Linked DNA regions of Xenopus tropicalis. The protein of the gene in region 2 interacts with the protein of the main gene of each other region in a biochemical or structural test. Links are inferred from orthologs where the notes say so. Each region holds a gene or a part of one and is shown on either strand. Other genes may lie near its edges. The genes, in order: pin1, cdc25c, chek1, plk3 and cdk1.

The links.
Region 1: the proteins of cdc25c (region 2) and pin1 interact in a test that uses a peptide from one of them, tested with the Homo sapiens proteins (2 studies listed by BioGRID, with this or other methods). The link is inferred for Xenopus tropicalis from reciprocal best matches to the Homo sapiens genes CDC25C and PIN1.
Region 3: of the proteins of cdc25c (region 2) and chek1, one has a biochemical effect on the other in vitro, tested with the Homo sapiens proteins (16 studies listed by BioGRID and IntAct, with this or other methods). The link is inferred for Xenopus tropicalis from reciprocal best matches to the Homo sapiens genes CDC25C and CHEK1.
Region 4: of the proteins of cdc25c (region 2) and plk3, one has a biochemical effect on the other in vitro, tested with the Homo sapiens proteins (2 studies listed by BioGRID, with this or other methods). The link is inferred for Xenopus tropicalis from reciprocal best matches to the Homo sapiens genes CDC25C and PLK3.
Region 5: the proteins of cdc25c (region 2) and cdk1 form a complex in vitro, tested with the Homo sapiens proteins (3 studies listed by BioGRID, with this or other methods). The link is inferred for Xenopus tropicalis from reciprocal best matches to the Homo sapiens genes CDC25C and CDK1.

The regions. Positions count from the first base shown.
Region 1 is NC_030679.2:136,780,416-136,784,378, reverse strand, and holds the start of pin1 (peptidyl-prolyl cis-trans isomerase NIMA-interacting 1), read left to right. Parts: upstream 1-1,154; 5' UTR 1,155-1,203; coding exon 1,204-1,261; exon of another isoform or gene 1,262-1,297; intron 1,298-3,963. UniProt on the Homo sapiens protein: Peptidyl-prolyl cis/trans isomerase (PPIase) that binds to and isomerizes specific phosphorylated Ser/Thr-Pro (pSer/Thr-Pro) motifs.
Region 2 is NC_030679.2:47,982,878-47,986,305, reverse strand, and holds the end of cdc25c (M-phase inducer phosphatase 3), read left to right. Parts: intron 1-555; coding exon 556-654; intron 655-831; coding exon 832-965; intron 966-1,802; coding exon 1,803-1,914; intron 1,915-2,405; coding exon 2,406-2,546; 3' UTR 2,547-2,924; downstream 2,925-3,428. UniProt on the Homo sapiens protein: Functions as a dosage-dependent inducer in mitotic control. Tyrosine protein phosphatase required for progression of the cell cycle. When phosphorylated, highly effective in activating G2 cells into prophase.
Region 3 is NC_030683.2:74,049,177-74,052,691, reverse strand, and holds part of chek1 (serine/threonine-protein kinase Chk1), read left to right. Parts: intron 1-141; coding exon 142-237; intron 238-419; coding exon 420-519; intron 520-1,271; coding exon 1,272-1,455; intron 1,456-3,432; coding exon 3,433-3,515. UniProt on the Homo sapiens protein: Serine/threonine-protein kinase which is required for checkpoint-mediated cell cycle arrest and activation of DNA repair in response to the presence of DNA damage or unreplicated DNA.
Region 4 is NC_030680.2:90,881,777-90,885,291, reverse strand, and holds part of plk3 (serine/threonine-protein kinase PLK3), read left to right. Parts: intron 1-603; coding exon 604-733; intron 734-855; coding exon 856-943; intron 944-1,419; coding exon 1,420-1,515; intron 1,516-2,324; coding exon 2,325-2,523; intron 2,524-2,611; coding exon 2,612-2,738; intron 2,739-3,065; coding exon 3,066-3,175; intron 3,176-3,384; coding exon 3,385-3,508; intron 3,509-3,515. UniProt on the Homo sapiens protein: Serine/threonine-protein kinase involved in cell cycle regulation, response to stress and Golgi disassembly. Polo-like kinases act by binding and phosphorylating proteins that are already phosphorylated on a specific motif recognized by the POLO box domains.
Region 5 is NC_030683.2:16,801,153-16,805,405, forward strand, and holds the start of cdk1 (cyclin-dependent kinase 1), read left to right. Parts: upstream 1-1,443; 5' UTR 1,444-1,509; exon of another isoform or gene 1,510-1,526; intron 1,527-2,565; 5' UTR 2,566-2,589; coding exon 2,590-2,626; intron 2,627-4,253. UniProt on the Homo sapiens protein: Plays a key role in the control of the eukaryotic cell cycle by modulating the centrosome cycle as well as mitotic onset; promotes G2-M transition via association with multiple interphase cyclins.

The DNA.
Region 1 (3,963 bases), about 89 Mb from region 2:
TATTTTATTCTATATTATATATAAAGCTGGCAAGCTTTTTTTTAATAATGGCTGCTGTTATAAAAACGATTGAGCAATAAAATAAAGGGCTGTTGTTACAATTAAGCAAAACACACTTTCCCTGACCGGGAATCGAACCCGGGCCGCGGCGGTGAGAGCGCCGAATCCTAACCACTAGACCACCAGGGAAGGTTGTATGTGAAATTGCCAGATTTATTTTTCCAAATCGCCAGTCAGTTCTAAAACCAGTGAAATACTAGTCCAAACCCACTTTGAAAGTAACCCAAAAATAGCCCAATGTGCAATGAAAAAAATTCTACAAAAATAAAAGTACATATGGGAAAACCTGCCTTTTTAAAGCATATAATCACTACCCAGTTACTGGAATGGCTGATAATTCCCTGCCCTCTGTGCCCAGTCCAGCTGGGAAGTCGCTACAGAAATAGATTCAGAATCTTGCATTAACCCCAGACTTATAAATATGGGTGCGTTCAACTACAACTCTCAGCAGCCCCAAGATAACTACAGACCTGCCCCCACATCACATACCCTATAGAGCAGGGAGCAGAACATACAGGTTGAGCCTGAAAGAGCAAAAAGGAATAGAAAACGGAGCCTCTGGCTAAACTGCCCAATTGCAAGCTGGGTATTGTAGTTTTATATTACTCCTAGTTGTAGGCTAATTGTTAGCTACAAACTACATTACCCAGCATGCAGTGGAACAAGCACACTAGGGGAAAAAACTGGCTAGGTTCCAAACTACAAACCCGCCAAGGCTCCAAAAACTAGTCCAAAACGGTACTTTGGCGGGTTTGTAATTTAAAAACAAACCAGGGCTTTAAATTAGTAGCCCAATTTGGCAGAAAAACCGCTAACCTGCCACCCATGCTTGTGAGAGCAATTTTAATGCGTAAGAATAGAGAGAGACGCGAACACATTTCTGCGCATGCGTCATACTGCTGCCAATGCGTACAACCTCTCAGCCCCGCCCCTTGTTTTATTAATTACTCCGTTTATTCCGTTACAGCCAATAGTGGGCGCATATCATTTCCCGCCCTTGCTTTCGGTTTTCAGGCTGACTACGTCGTCGGCAGATTAGTTAGCTTAATGGCTAAAAGCTTAGCAGGGACTTAACCAATGAGAAGCGCCGAGCTGACGGAGTGGTTTGTGTAGGCGGGGCTTGGCCTGACGCAGGAGGGAAAGATGGCGGACGAGGAGAAGCTACCGCCCGGGTGGGAGAAGCGCATGAGTCGAAGCTCGGGTATATGGAGTGTAGCGGGCACAGTTGTTATATAGAGTTAGTGCAGCGCTGGTTTGCTTTGTAGCTGTTCCTATTTTATTGTGTCTTGCACTGTGCATAGCGTCCTGATAAAGGTGCTGTTGCAAAGCTGCAGAACTACAATTCCCACTTTGCATTGCGCATTATAGTATTTAGTCGCCTGTAAACAGACTAAGAAATGCTAAGCATTGACTGCTTCTGCTACTGTATGGGGCCATGACTGGTGCCCTAGTATCTGCACCTATCTGTTCAGTGTCATTTGTGTCAGAGTTCGATCTGTTCCTGCTTAGATGCTGATGTGTCTGTGATTAACATGGTGCCTTGTGGCTATGTATTGTATGTATCCTGCTCGGGAATGGTCTTCAGTCAGGAGCCAAGCAGGCAAGGCCCTTCAGAGATCCTTAGTGGGGCCTAAATTAGTACAGTGGCCCCTGGGAAAGGGCCGTGGTATAGTAGGGAGAGATGGTGCCTATAGTAGCAGTGGGGGGATAATAGCCTCTGGGAAGGGACTGGGGCTGTGGGATAGCAGGTATAGTAGGGAGAGATGGTGCCTATAGTAGCAGTGGGGGGTAATAGCCTCTGGGAAGGGACTGGGGCTGTGGGATAGCAGGTATAGTAGGGAGAGATGGTGCCTATAGTAGCAGTGGGGCGATAATAGCCTCTGGGAAGGGACTGGGGCTGTGGGATAGCAGGTATAGTAGGGAGAGATGGTGCCTATAGTAGCAGTGGGGGGGATAATAGACTCTGGGAAGGGACTGGGGCTGTGGGATAGCAGGTATAGTAGGGAGAGATGGTGCCTATAGTAGCAGTGGGGGGGTAATAGCCTCTGGGAAGGGACTGGGGCTGTGGGATAGCAGGTATAGTAGGGAGAGATGGTGCCTATAGTAGCAGTGGGGGGGTAATAGCCTCTGGGAAGGGACTGGGGCTGTGGGATAGCAGGTATAGTAGGGAGAGATGGTGCCTATAGTAGCAGTGGGGGGGGTAATAGCCTCTGGGAAGGGACTGGGGCTGTGGGATAGCAGGTATAGTAGGGAGAGAGAGCCTCTGGGAAGGGACTGGGGCTGTGGGATAGCAGGTATAGTAGGGAGAGAGAGCCTCTGGGAAGGGACTGGGGCTGTGGGATAGCAGGTATAGTAGGGAGAGATGGTGCCTATAGTAGCAGTGGGGGGATAATAGCCTCTGGAAAGGGACTGGGGCTGTGGGATAGCAGGTATAGTAGGGAGAGAGAGCCTCTGGGAAGGGACTGGGGCTGTGGGATAGCAGGTATAGTAGGGAGAGACGGTGCCTATAGTAGCAGTGGGATAATAGCCTCTGGGAAGGGACTGGGGCTGTGGGATAGCAGGAATAGTAGGGAGAGATGGTGCTTATAGTAGCAGTGGGGGGATAATAGCCTCTGGGAAGGGACTGTGGCTGTGGGATAGCAGGTATAGTAGGGAGAGATGGTGCCTATAGTAGCAGTGGGATAATAGCCTCTGGGAAGGGACTGGGGCTGTGGGATAGCAGGAATAGTAGGGAGAGATGGTGCTTATAGTAGCAGTGGGGGGATAATAGCCTCTGGGAAGGGACTGTGGCTGTGGGATAGCAGGTATAGTAGGGAGAGATGGTGCCTATAGTAGCAGTGGGGGATAATAGCCTCTGGGAAGGGACTGGGGCTGTGGGATAGCAGATATAGTAGGGAGAGAGAGCCTCTGGGAAGGGACTGGGGCTGTGGGATAGCAGGTATAGTAGGGAGAGATGGTGCCTATAGTAGCAGTGGGATAATAGCCTCTGGGAAGGGACTGGGGCTGTGGGATAGCAGGAATAGTAGGGAGAGATGGTGCTTATAGTAGCAGTGGGGGGATAATAGCCTCTGGGAAGGGACTGTGGCTGTGGGATAGCAGGTATAGTAGGGAGAGATGGTGCCTATAGTAGCAGTGGGGGGATAATAGCCTCTGGGAAGGGGCTGTGGGATAGCAGGTATAGTAGGGAGAGATGGTGCCTATAGTAGCAGTGGGGGGGGGGGATAATAGCCTCTGGGAAGGGACTGGGGCTGTGGGATAGCAGGTATAGTAGGGAGAGATGGTGCCTATAGTAGCAGTGGGGGGATAATAGCCTCTGGGAAGGGACTGGGGCTGTGGGATAGCAGGTATAGTAGGGAGAGATGGTGCCTATAGTAGCAGTGGGGGGATAATAGCCTCTGGGAAGGGACTGGGGCTGTGGGATAGCAGGTATAGTAGGGAGAGATGGTGCCTATAGTAGCGGTGGGGGGATAATAGTAGGGAGAGATCGTTTGCAGCTTATTGGCCCATGTACAGTGCTGCATTCATAAGTAGCACTATTTACAAAAAAATTATACATAAATGCATGTATGGTGACGAGAACTGAATTAGTGCGTTTATGTTGTCCTTGACTAATGGGTCTGCATAGGGCCATTTTAGAATCTGCTTTTTATTGGCCCAGAAGCCAGTCAATCTGAACAATCCGATCTGGCTCAGATCAAATGAGCAGATATGTTAATGTATGAGTAACGCTATGCTATGAATTCTCCTGCTTTTTTTTTTATACCCAGTTATGGCTGCTTGTGAGTATAGACGTAAGCAGGGAATAAATGTTCTTTTGACATAGCAAACTTTGGCTTTACTTTACTGCCTGTGTACTAGATACTCTTGCTGTACTTTATAATCAATATAGCTGTCCCCCACTAG
Region 2 (3,428 bases):
AAAGCTCTGAATTACAGAAAGCCTGTCTCCCATAGACTCCATTTTAATCAAATAATTCAGAATAAAACTGATTTCCTTTTTCTCTGTAGTAAAAAAGCAGTACCTTATAATTGATCCCAACTAAGATATAATGAATCCTTATTGGATGCAAAACAATCCTATAGGGTTTAATTAATGTTTTTTTGTAGACTTAAGGTAAGGAGATCCAAATTAAGGAAAGACCCCTTATCCGGAATAACATTGGTCTCGAGCATTCTGGATAATATGTCCTATACCTGTACTTATAAACATAGAATGTAAAGCTGAATTAAGCTACACATTGGGTAGGGATGGTTATGACTCCCAGCATATGTGATAGCTTTGAGCATTTCTAGCATACAGGGAGTTTTAGCCCTGCTGGAGGTGCACAAGGTGAATTTTTATGTACTGCACGAAGATTTAGACAAAGCACTAACGTATGTCCTAAATAGGAGGATTGTAGGGATTACTGTGGGCTTTTTTTTTTTTTGTTTTATTTTTTCTAATTCCACTAAGCACTAAGTTTTCACTCTGCAGCTGGCAGCCTTAATTCATGGAGACTTCAGCAGTTTAGTGGAGAATGTCTTTATAATAGATTGTCGTTATCCTTATGAATATGACGGCGGGCACATCAAGGTGAGCTGATGATAGTTGGTGGCTGATGATAGTAAACCTGAATCTTCTGTTTGTTCCTCTTCTACTTGGCTCACTCTTTTTTTTCCTTTTAGAAGAAAGTCTGTGGTTTTATTTCCTTTTTTATTTATTTCTCGCAACATTTCCCTGCAACTAATACTCTTATTTTGGTGTCACAAGGGTGCATTAAACCTCCACCGGCAAGAGGAAGTAACTGACTACTTCCTGAAACAACCTCTGGCTCCATCGGTGGCACAGAAGCGATTAATTATAGTTTTTCATTGCGAGTTCTCTTCTGAAAGAGGCCCAAAAATGTAAGTATTCATAAAGTTTGGATAAGTAGTGGAATTCTGAACACGACTCCATAGTCAGCCTCTTAAAGCAAATAAACTGGGATTTCTATTTTCAGAAATCCATAAGAGGGACATTAGTTTTTTTTCTGCTGACTGTATATGATGACTATATAACTTATCAATATGATCACCAGGTGGAGCAAGCAGTAAGTGCTACAAACCAGGTTTCATATGATTTTTCAGGACATATGGCCAAGGAAGGGTCTGTTTTCTATACAAGTTATAGCCACACAATCCACAATTTACTGCACTACATACTAAAAGGAGCCGCACACAATCTATTTTTATGCAGTCAGGGGGCTTTCCCCATTTATTGTGACCATCTGTGCATCAACATTTCAGGGGAGCAAGCAACATTTCATTAGGATCACAGCATGTGTGAAGTGTCGCCTAGTGGTGATTGGCAGATTTTCTCCAGAAAAACGCATGAATGTTTCTGGGCCAAAATCTAGCAAAATTCATGCCCTTCCCCACCATCATAATCCATTCTTTCCTTTGAATGGAAGAATTCAGTATTCTGAACACCAGAATTTGCTTCTGATTTGTAAAGACAGAGCCTTGTGTTTTTTGGAAAAAGAGCGAGGGGCAATAAATCTGCCCCTAAATATAATGTAAAATTAGAAAACCATTTTTGTATAGGAGCCTTGTTAGCAACCAGCAATCAAGACTCTTATCAACACAATGAGTGGGTTTGTGTACCATATAAATGTCACTGAATGTAAATATGATCTAGTAAAAGACGTATCAGAGAGTCTCCACTCTCATGCTTCTGTCAGTTCTTTCAATGTTTTATTTTAGGTGTCGCTTCCTTAGGGAGGAAGACAGAGCCAGGAATGAGTACCCAGGCTTGTATTACCCAGAGCTTTATCTCCTTAAAGGCGGTTACAAGGATTTTTTTCCTGAATACAAGGTACTAGTGTGTTTTGTTACTGTCTGTATACAATTTATTGAGTTTAGTGGTGTATTTTTTTTTTTATACATTATTAGCATACCACCAGTAGTGTTAACTGCTAGAAGTCAGCATTGTTGCACTGGGTCACAGAATAACCAGGTGTTATTGGGCTTGGTAGAAATTATACAAATGTATACCTCAACTAACTATTGTTAGTTATTCAGTCATAATTTCAATAATATCACAAACTGCATATACATATTTACCTTAACTGGCCTTCAACCTGGGGTTTCAGATTTATCTAGGAGAGCAAATAGGCATCCTCCCCAATTCCATTCCTTTAAAGCACCCCTTGGGGTGGGTGCAGCCCCACTGTTGGAGCCACTGGTAGAATAATGTCATACAAGCTTAATGTAAACTGACTGAATTGGAAAAAGACAGTTTGCTTCAAGAATACCAGCTTCTTTGTTTTCTAAGTAAAGGAGTCATATTTGATTTCCCTCCAACAGGAGCTATGTGAGCCACAGGGCTACTGCCCAATGCACCATCAGGATTTCCGGGAGGAGCTTCTGAAATTTCGGACAAAATGTAAGACATCAGTTGGTGATAGAAAGAGAAGGGAACAGATTGCCCGCCTGATGAAGCTTTAATCTCAGGGCTGCTAAACTCCGTAAAATTTTAATTTTCCTATACTACAACCATCAAGACTGCTACAAGTTGACAAAAAATTACCTTGTTTACATCTTTGTCACTGTGAATTTCTTTTTATTTTTTTTACTGTGATCTCTTTAATAACAGTATGTAAGAAAGTAAGTGATGAAAAGGTACCTGTACTGCTAATTGCTGGGAGTTCTTGTATGAATTAGTTCACTAGGTGGTGCTGTATATTTATCAATGCATTGTACACTTTATAAAGACATTAGTGTGACTGGCACTCCAATCATTGAATGGGCGTTAAAATGGAAGTGAGCCAGTGCAATCAATCTTCAAGGATAAACATAGTAAATCAATGGATTATTTGAAAAATACGTGGTCTTATGTCTCATTATTGGATCAACACCTAATGCAAGAAGAAATGAGCACAGCTCCTGAATGTAAATCCTGCCACCAAATGGTTCCATGGTGCAATTCTGCCATCCAGTGCCAACCGCAGGTATCTGGGATTCTCTAGGTTAGGGGAACTTTTGGATGCAGTGTGACATTTTTTCACTCACAATGCAGTGTCTTTCATATAATTTCAGTAACTGCTACTGAAGAATTAAAACATGTGCAATTATGCTTCACTGCGAATTGGATGCAGTGAAGGCGAATAATTTTGGGGCCGGTATCGCTTTGAGCGTTCAGTGTTTCAAAGACTTCATGATCCTTTAGGTGCAACTATGCTGCATCAACATTTCAGAGTGAAACTAAGATGAAGTCCAAGGAGTGGATTTGGGTATAAGTACCTTTGATTGAAATTATGACGGTTTGACTGCATCCATTTTTTGTAAAAATTAATTCAGTTTGGATTGAGTTAGGTAGGAAGATTTTTT
Region 3 (3,515 bases), on a different chromosome or scaffold from region 2:
ACACATGCACACAAATCAGAAGAATTTAGGAATTAGATTAAAATGTTACATACTAATTCTTTAGTTGCAAATTTAATTTTAATTGTAGTCCATTGTATGGCCATGACCAATGTCTATACTTTTTTTTTTTTTTTTTTATAGCATTGCTGTGTAAAATGTTAACAGAAAATCCACAAAGCAGAATCACCATTCCAGACATAAAGAAGGACCGTTGGTTCACAGAATTAATCAAGAAAGGTTTGTTGCTGGTATTTCTATACTCTAACATAGATAGTTTTGGGCACTGTATTGCATACCAGTATTATGTACTGCATGCTTTTAACATAGTTTGTCCAAAATTACTTGTATTTTAACATGTACTGTTGTCATGACGTAATGCTACTTACTGCATTATTATAAAATTGTGCTTTCCTAAATAGGGATTAAGAGAAGCCGTGCTTTCTCTGGAGGTACTTCAGATTCTTCTGGGCTTTGTAAGCAGATCCGATCAGATATGGAGATTTCAATCATCTCTCACAGGTTAGCTTCCTTGTTAATTAAGTTAAATTTTTATTTATGACTGTAAAACGATTAGTGATACTTCAGACAGCATAATATAAACATTTATGAAACTATATAAAAATTATGAAGGGATGCCTTCATCAATAGTTTACTCAAGCTTTAGTAACATGCTCTTATTTTCTGTCAAGTTAGAGGTATAGATTTCAGATATGTTATCATTCTAAAAAAGGAATTGGGAGCAAATCTGCTTCTATCAGCCTGCAGAAAAATTGCAAACTGAGAGCAGCAGAGCCAACGCTTGATGTGCCTATGGCCTTGGCCTTGTTATCTTCTACTTCAATTGTTAAATCAGCTTTAGGCATCTCAAGCAGTTGTGTAGTAAATGTCGATGAGCCACATCTGTGTCAGGCAGGAGTGGGTATGCGCAAAACACAGGAGTGATGCTCATGAACAAAAAAGCCCTATGTTGTAGTACAGAGGATAGGGAAGGAGGATGCATTGGCATTGATTATATACAGAAAAAAACAGAATGCTTATAGATAAAAACAGCTGGGAATTGGCATAGCATATGATGGGTTATCCAAGACAGAAAAACCAGTGTTCCTTGGTTTAGTAAATGTTTAGCTTTGTTGTCCTCTATGCACATATGTGACTTTCATGTGTTTAGGAAATATTAATAACTTTTTTTACAATATGAATGTATTAATGAATTTGATGCTTTTTAGAGGATATTTTTTAAATTAATAAATTGTAATTGTTCTTCTAATTAGTGAAGAGAAGAATGCATATTCTAGTACACAGCCAGAGCCACGGACTGCACTGGCAACATGGGACAGCAATGGTTCTCATATAGACAATTTGGTGCAGGGAAAAGGCATCAGCTTCTCTCAGCCTGCCTGTCCTGAAAACATGCTTCTGAGCAGCCAGTTAATTGGTACTCCAGGCTCCTCTCAGGTATGGCTTATTACTGTACAAATAATATTTAGACAGTTGTTCTTTCTCTTGGTTTAGCAAAATTAAGAAAAATATTAAAACCATGTATGTCCATTAAATAGGGTATTCTGTTTAACAAAGCTTGCTGGTTTTTGAATTTTCGATTGTGATTTCAGCACTGAATTAAATGTAATTTGTTTTTTATGAAGCTGCAAAAGCATAAGGGATGGTAATGTACAACATACAGAAAGCTTAAAACCACCTATAATGCTATGGTCTACATCATGCCTAATATCTGGCACTCCCCCCCCCCCCCCCCCCCAGGGATTTTTACTTTTCCTTCTCATTTAAAGGCTTTTAATTTTGTCTCTGTAAAGTGAATGTCACATCTTGAAATTTTTAACAGTGGCAAAACTGTTTGTATAGTGTAAAATGTTTAGAAAATAGCAGGGCTGTGGAGTCTGAGTCGGAGGCAATTTTGGGTACCTGGAGTCGGAGTCGGCAAAAAATGAACCGACTCCGACTCCTACTAAATTTAAATGGGAATAAAAAAAAATAAAGCAAATTTAAATGTCCCAATTCACAAACAGTCATAATTAATTACTTCTCTGCTATAAGAATAAAGCCCAATGCACGCAGTGCATAAATGAACACGTTGAGCGACCATGAAGCTTTTCATTGACTGTATGCTTCACTAAATGGGACGTAACGCACAGTTAAGGTGCGGCAGCTCCACTGCGTCGTGTTCCTCTGTTACTGGGAACACAATGCCCACTGTGAACCCAGCCTAACTCTCACTGATAACTAATTAAGTGAAAAAAATTTGCAGGACTAGAAATACTTGTATACATGAAGGGAATGGGTAGTCAATAGTTTAAAGGAACAGTAACAACAAAAAATGAAAGTGTATAAAAGTAACTAAAATATAATCTGCTTCTCTGCACTGTGTGTTTACTTCAGAAAATCTACTATAATTTATATAAATAAGCTGCTGTGTAGTATGGGGGCAGCCATTCCTGCACCGGTACAGCTGGGGTGTTTGCTACAGTAACCCTACTATAGTTTATATAAATACCGCGCTGTGTAGCCCCGGGGGCAGCCATTCCTGCACTGGTACAGCTGGGGTGTTTGCTACAGAAGCCCTACTATAGTTTATATAAATACCCCGCGGTGTAGCCCCGGGGGCAGCCATTCCTGCACTGGTACAGCTGGGGTGTTTGCTACAGAAACCCTACTATAGTTTATATAAATGCCCCGGGGGCAGCCATTCCTGCACTGGTACAGCTGGGGTGTTTGCTACAGAAACCCTACTATAGTTTATATAAATGCCCCGGGGCAGCCATTCCTGCACTGGTACAGCTGGGGTGTTTGCTACAGAAACCCTACTATAGTTTATATAAATACCCTGCTGTGTAGCCATGGGGACATAGTAGGGTTTCTGTAGCAAACACCCCAGCTGTACCAGTGCAGGAATGGCTGCCCCCGGGGCTACACAGCGGGGTATTTATATAAACTATAGTAGGGTAGCAGGGCAACAGTGTATTATATTTTTATTACTTTACAGCTCTTTTATTTTTTGGTGTTACTGTTCCTTTAAGACTGAAGCTTTAAAACATTTGAAAAACTGCTGTAATTCAGCTGTAATGTTAGCTTAAACTTTAAACATGACTATGGGATTCTAGGGAAATCATTAGAAGTAGGAGTATAGATAAAATTGTCTATCAGTTTATTATCAGTTCAGTTGTGTTTTAAGTGCCCCTTCCCCTTCCTGGATGTATAAAATACATTAGCATATTAAAAACAGAGGAGTCAGAGTCATGGAGTCGGAAGTATCAGAAACTGAGGAGTCGGAGTCGGAGAATTTATCTACCGACTCCACAGCCCTGGAAAATAGATGTTTGCATGTGCTATTTGTTTCAACTTTACATGGTTAGCAGTTTTAACATGGCCTGTGCTATTCAATTTTTGCCAACCTAGTTTTTTTTCTTAATTCTGTAGAATGTTTGGCAACGTTTGGTCAAAAGAATGACCAGGTTCTTTACAAAAGTGGATGCTGAAAGCTCGTACAGCAATTTGATGGA
Region 4 (3,515 bases), on a different chromosome or scaffold from region 2:
AAATGAGAGGTAAGGCATTTAAACCCTTGTGTTTTTTTTTTTTTTTTTTTTTTTTTTTTTCTAAGCCATGACCGGTAGCTTACTAAAGGGCTATAGTTATCATGCTGTGTAAAAAGTGGAGTAAAGCATTACCGGTGATGTTGCCCAATCGGCAATTAGATTTCAACAGTTAGAAAATCAAGGCAACGCATCTGATTGGCTGCTATGAGCAACATCACCGATGATGTTTTACTCCACTTTTTACACAGCATGATAAATATACCCCTTAATAGAGAAGCTGTCTTAAACCTAAACAGAATATGTAGTCTGGCTTCCAAAAAAATGACAACCAGCTGCTCTGCCCCTATTTTTTTTTTTTTTTTTTTTGGGATTTTCTTAATGTAGTTTTCTAAAGATTCCCATATATTTTGATATGGTGCTAGTAATCGCTTTATTAAATCTAAAGGACTATGTTCAGTTTGAGGAGTTATTGGTAGTTTTATTTATTCCCTGAGTGGGAACATTCTTATCCTGAGGGTTGCCTTTTTATGTAAATTCTAGCTGCTTTTTTTTTTTTTTTTTTCCCATGCTATTAACTGTTCAAAATGGTTTGCTCCTGTTTAGTCTCTTGCCCACATCTGGAAAGCCCGGCACACACTACTGGAACCAGAAGTGCGGTATTTTTTGAAGCAGATCATTTCTGGGTTGAAGTATCTGCACCTTAAAGGCATCCTGCACAGAGACTTGAAACTAGGTACGCAGACCTTTTAAAATACATACATTTCTCTTATATATAATGAGAAATATATTATATATAATATATAATTAATGCATTTGGAATACCTGACTAAAAGTCATCATTTTTTTTTGATACAGGTAATTTCTTCATCAATGAGAGCATGGAACTAAAAGTTGGTGACTTCGGATTAGCTGCCCGTTTGGAGCCCCCTGAGCAGAGAAAGAAGTAAAAAAAAATTTTTATTTATTTTTTTTTTTGCATTTGGCTCTCAAACACTGCTGGTAGTTAAAAGATATTTAGAATATATTTTTATTGGGTGAATGATTAGTGAGGTTGTGAAGTCTTCTGTAAGCTTGCCAAAATTCTTGCTTGAACAATGCATTCTTTTCAGGCTCTAAGTATGCAGTGTGCAGTAAAGTTAACAAAACTCCAGTGATTAGCTTAATGTACCTAGATGGTCTTGATCACTTGTGTCCCACAGAGATATTGTTGTCCACGATAGATCTCTGCTACTGTGGGCGACTAATCTCTCTGAAATGCCATTCCACTGGCAACAAAGGGGCGATTCCAGTTGTTGCTGGTGGAATGGTATTTCGGAGAGATTAGTTGACCGTGGTAGCAGATATCTATCGTGGGACATTATCCTAAGAGTTCATATCTAACTGACTTTATAATGTGTGTGTTTTGTTTTTTTAAAAAAGGACCATATGTGGAACACCAAACTACTTGGCACCTGAAGTTCTTTACAGGCAGGGGCATGGACCTGAATCTGACATATGGTCTCTAGGATGTGTCATGTAAGTTGTTGTGTGTGTTTTTTTTTTGTTTGTTCCTGTCACTGTACCCTTTTAAAGTGCAAGCTTGCTATTGGCATTTGAAGAGTAATGGGGCTTATGTTTAATATCCTTTTGGGACTATCCTGAACAGCAAGCAATCATTCATCCAAATCTTCCCCCAATTACTACACCTTGGCATTTTATATTTTTTTGGTTCCTTTTGCTTTGCATGACTGCCAAATATGGTTTTATAGGAAAACAAGTAGTTTTTCTAATTGTGCCCTTGGGGCAATGGCACATGGGGCAGTTTCAATTGTGTTGCCTGCTGTTTTTTAGTAGGGCCAAAGACTTGGCCTAAATGCTCAATTGGCACTTTTTTTAAAAAGACCATTAGCTGCAATCTATGCTTCTCTGGTGAAAATCTCTCATGTGCTAGTGCAATCGGACAAGTGACACTCATAGAGCATAACAGGAGAGACATGGAAAGTTCTTTCTGCTGTTTGTGGGGCTAAAACCATTCTAAGACCCATTGCCTAAGGCGTAGGTGGAGTCTTGCACAACTATTATGCATTTAGTGCCATGTATTATACTTTTTATGGTTGCAGTGCAGCTAACTTTCACGGTTGTACACCAGTACAGTGGTGTGAGCAAATTTATTTTGCACAGGGAAACCAGAATGCAATTGCAACTTTGTTCCACTTGTGAATCGCCCATTTTCTTTTCAACCTTGGTTTTTATTTTACCAATAATGCCAATGTGCAAAACCTTTAGACTATTGATGCTTTACTCTTAATGTGGCAAACTTTTACATGTATTGTTACTGCTTTTAGGTATACCTTGCTCTGTGGCACTCCACCGTTTGAGACCTCAGATCTAAAGGAGACCTACCGCTGTATCAAACAGGTGAAATATACCTTACCAGCATGTCTGTCCTCTGCTGCCAAACACCTTCTCATGGGAATCCTAAAACGCACCCCTGGAGAGCGACTTACACTTGACCAGATTCTAGAACATGAATTCTTCACAAAGGTATTGTCTGATAGCAGTGGAATAGAAGTCACATTTATTGCAATGAGAAAGCGGTTAACCATATTTCAAACTTATTTATTTGTTTAAGGGTTATACTCCAGACAAGCTTCCCCCAAGCAGCTGTGTGATGGTCCCTGACCTACATCCTCCCAATCCTGCAAAGAGCCTCTTCACTAAAGTTGCCAAAAGCTTGTTTGGCAAAACCAAATCAAAAAGTATGTATTTACTATTATCACTTTTTTTTTTTTTTATGTATTATCATGTAGACTGCAGATAACTATTGACATAGATAAATGTGCAGTAGTCTGAACGGTCTTTGTCCCTTTATGGTGAATTTGTTTTAGGTAACAAACTAGGTCATGTTTAAACTTAGGACACTGAACTGAAGGACGGGATTACTATAGGTGTGTCCTTCAGAAGTCTAGAAAACACAAATATTTGAATTTGCGGTGAAGTGGTTAAAAAGAAATGCACAGGTTTTCTTGACAGTCAGGAGGCTTGTGGACACTTTCTTATTATTGTGGTTTTTTTTATTTTTGCAGCAAAGAAAAGTCCCACTGAGGAGAAAGATGATATTTCTAAGATAGTCACAGGACTGGTTAAAACGTCCATCTGCAGACAGCTGAGTTATAAGACTGTGGATGGGAATGAGGTAAACTGACATGTATTTGGTAATAAAGTTGGAGTCCCTGGGTACTAGATTAGAAAAGATTTGGAAAATTTCCTACCTAACAATAAAAATATCAACTATAATCCCAAAGGAAGGCAACTGGCTTATCAAAAAATAGTTTGTCCTGTATAGTTTTGAGTAATGTGGAAAGCCCCACCCTTACGCATGTTTTCTATGCTCTTTGTAATTAGGTTGCCCCAGTAACTAGTCATGCTGTAAGTGCCAACTCCAGTCCTGTGGACACTTTGACAGAAGAAGCTTCTGGGAAATCTGTGTCACGTTCTATCCGTGGCAGTTTGGTCAGCAGTAGTGATGGTAAGCA
Region 5 (4,253 bases), on a different chromosome or scaffold from region 2:
GGAACCGCCCCCTAAGTTTGCTCATAGCCTGTACAGAGAGATACTATAAAACTATGCAGCATAGGGATTACCCTGTACTAAGCACAATTCAGCAGGAACAGCCCCTTAAATTTGCTCAAAGCCTATACAGAGAGATACCATAAAACTATGGCAGCATAGGGATTCCCCTGTACTAAGCACAATTCAGCAGGAACAGCCCCCTAAGTTTGCTCATAGCCTGTACAGAGAGATACCATAAAACTATGGCAGCATAGGGATTCCCCTGTACTAAGCACAATTCAGCAGGAACAGCCCCCTAAGTTTGCTCATAGCCTGTACAGAGAGATACCATAAAACTATGGCAGCATAGGGATTCCCCTGTACTAAGCACAATTCAGCAGGAACAGCCCCTGCTGTTGTTAGTGTGAATTCCTGTGGTCCTCTTTACAGCTAATAAAGTGATATTCACTGGAGCCCACCAGTGCTCCAGTGAATGGCCAGATGGAAACCCTAGCTACTATTTCTTGAGTACAGTGACGCTATTGTATCCCACAGCCCTGGAGATCTTTAGCACTGTCCCATATAGGGTGAATTGGCCCTAACCTGCAAAATGTTGACCTGCACCCACATCTCGCCCTGCCCACGACCTGCACCCAACCCAGCAATGTTCTCCCAACCCATGGGAGAACCCTGATCACTAATCAGAATGGCCAAGGGGGTGCATGTGGGCACACAGGAATTATATTTTGTAACACATATGCCTACTCTGCTGCCCTCCGGCTCTTGCTGAAGCCCTCTAATAGCCAAATGCTTTGTGGGGGTTGCTGGGAGTTGTAGTTTACTGAGGTTTCAGGTCAGACACACAGAGCTACTAGTAGCAGCTACTTGCCACAGCTACTAAAATAGACAATGCAGATCATTTATTGATAATTATTTCTATATATATATATATATATATATATATATGTGTGTGTGTGTTTTAGCAGAGGCAATTCTCAGTATTGTCTATGGCAGTGTATTTTCTGGTATATAGTACCCATGACAAAGTAGCTCCTACTAGTAGCTCTGTGTGTCTCCACCCTAAGGGACCCCCTTTTACCTTATGTTTTACTACTTTATTTGTTATTGAGTGAAATCCCTGTGCCGCTATAGACACTGCACTTCCCGGATATTAGATTAAATCAGTATACAAAGCTAGCCGCCCGACCACTTCTGTTCCTAGCCGAGTCACGCAAACAGGTCTCTAGGATTTTATCCACATCACGTCCCCGCCCGCTGCTGTTTTAGCTACCCGCCCTTCCCAGCTTCCTTCGCGCCGTCACCGCTGCCTGATTCTTATTGGCCGCTTTGAATATCCACGGCCGCAGTGATTGGGTTAGGCTTGGACAGCGCTTTGCGCGGTTGGTTTGAAATCTCTCTGTTAGGCAAGCTGCAGCTTTAGCAGAAGGAAGCTGAGGTAGGCGAGGGGGAAAGGCCTCTTGGGCTCTGGGAGTTAAACGGGGGGCTTTGTTCTGCCGGAGGGTTTGCTGGGTAAGCTGCTGGGGCAGGTAAGGGGGGAAAGGGCTGTAGGGGGTACTTTTCTGCATTTTGCTTGCCCTGGCTGCAGAGTACGTGCTATGGGTGCCGAGTATCACCCTACACAGGGACTCAGGGGTCGGAGATGGACGCACCTGTCTGATTACAGCCATTTAATTGCCCCCTGTGTAATCATGCAGGGGCTGTCACTCATTAGATCTGCCCCCTCAGGCCCTTTAAATCTCCAGACATTTCAATTCCATCGGCTGAGCTTGCAGACTGCATTGATTGTGTTTGTGGGGGATGCTGGGACTTGTAGTCCATATCTGGGCACCTAAGCTTAAGTGCTATTGCTGTAGGGCTGGCTAGTAACTAGTTAAGGTGCAGAAAAGGGCTGGGGGAGTCACAACTGCCAGCCATAGACTTACAGAGCTGCTAGTTATAGTTCAACAACAGCAGGATTATGAGACTCTAACTGCAACTGCTTAATCATATCTGGGGATAGAGGTGCAGTTCAGCAGCAGGTTTGACAGCTTTATATTAGGCACCCAGCATAGGGCTGTTCTGCTGCCTGTTACTATGGGGTTGGTGCCATAATGTATATTGGGTTACTAAGGCGGCAGGGGGGTAGGAAGCCAGGGTCCCATTGTAATGTGATGGGGACAGGGCATAATAGTGACCAGACTGGAAACAAACAGAGGTGCAGTGTAAGGCAAGGCTGCCGGGGATTGGTCACGATGAAACGTTCGAATGATGCACCGAACAGCAGTATGGCAGCTGCCGCAGCTTAAAGGGCTATTGTACAGTAGCAGATGTATATTATACTGTATAAAGCACAGGGGCAGCTGTCACGTATGTGTAGGGCACCAGAAATGCTGCTTATTCTGATTAGAACCCAGCCACCGAGGGGCGCCGCTTAACTACAGTTTGTATATCACTAGGACTGTAATGGCTGCTTCTGTTTGTTTTACTAGTACAAATATATATCTATAGGCTCAGACAGCGCTTTAGTTATGTGTTTGTTTTTCTGATATCCCTGAAACGAGTGATCTCTATTTCTCCTCTGTGCAGGAATCCAGCCTTGAGGAACCAGCCATGGACGAGTACACTAAAATAGAAAAGATCGGAGAGGGTAAGTACAGGGGAATTCTGTTATGATTGTTGTGCTGCACTTTTCTCCTTGGGGGGGGGGGAACTCTGTTAATTATTCTTCTGCAGTTCGGACAGTTAAAGGGACAGTTAAAGCCTTGATGTGCGAGGCTGGGGGTCCTCAAACCAGTTTGCCTATTGATGTGCTTTACAATCTGCAAGGGGCACAGCTCTGTAGTTATGTAGGGAATTTGGCATATACATGGCCAGTCTATACCAGATTTACTCAGTGTCAGGGAGATCAATGGCATTAAAGGGAAACTAAAGCCACATTAGTTTGTACTAAAGCAGAGGCCTGCAGTGCCCTTACTCAGCTATAGAACTGCAGCCCCCTGCTCTAGTTTCTCTATCTCTGCACTAGTACAATCCAACAAAGGCCCCTGTTCATCCCCTTATTACCCTCTTTGTCTAGATTGCCTAGCTATAAAGAGAAGAATCGCCCAATATCCTGATGCACTCAATATGTACTAAGCTATATACCGGGTCAACCCAAAAGGTGTGGGAACCTCCCAGGGTCATATACAGAAAATGGATATAAATGGGCATTTTCCTTGCCCATTTCTCAAAGTGCTGCCAAGGAAGCCTGAAAGGGCGAAATACACACTGGGCTTTTTTCATGGGACATATGGAATCTAAATTTATTTTGCCAATGATGTTGGTGAGAAATAATTAGGGATCTATGTCCAGCCTGAACAACATGCATTCTGAGCATATTTGGTGCCAACCAGGGTGCCCAGCTGGCTCATTTTTTACATTCGGGGGTTGTGACGTGATCTCTAACTATGTAGTCCATGATTTATTTTAATTGTAGGTGTGTGTTTTTTGTATATTCCTTGCCTTGTCTGGGTAAAGCTCCTACAGTTCATGGGTTTCTGTCCCCCCCACTCTCCATTTTCTGCATTGCCTTGTATCTGTACTTGGCTTGAAAGCGTACTGGCACTTCAGGCCCAAAGGAAGGGCGCTGGGCTAGGGGGCTTACACAGCAGGAAGTGTAGGAACAGCAGTTGCCCTTTACTTCCTAATCTCCTGATGCACCATAGCAGCTTGCCCTGTTCCCCCAAATTGAATGCTAACCATAGTTAGGGTATGGGACCTGTTATCCAGAATGCTCGGGACCTGAGGTTTTCCGGATAAGGGCCTATCCATGACTTAAATCTGCTAAAAATCATTTAAATATTAAATAAACCCAATACTAGATACTGTTTTATTATTATTACAGAGAAAAGGGAATCATTTAACCATGAAATAAACCCAATAGGGATGTTCTGCCCCCAATAAGGGGTAATTATATCTTAGTTGGGATCAAGTACAGGTACTGTTTTATTATTACAGAGAAAAGGGAATCATTTAACCATTAAATAAACCCAATAGGGCTGTTCTGCCCCCAATAAGGGGTAATTATATCTTAGTTGGGATCAAGTACAGGTACTGTTTTATTATTACAGAGAAAAAGGAATCATTTAACCATGAAATAAACCCAATAGGGCTGTTCTGCCCCCAATAAGGGGTAATTATATCTTAGTTGGGATCAAGTACAGGTACTGTTTTCTTATTACAGAGAAAAGGGAATCATTTAACCATGAAATAAACCCAATAGGGCTGTTCTGCCC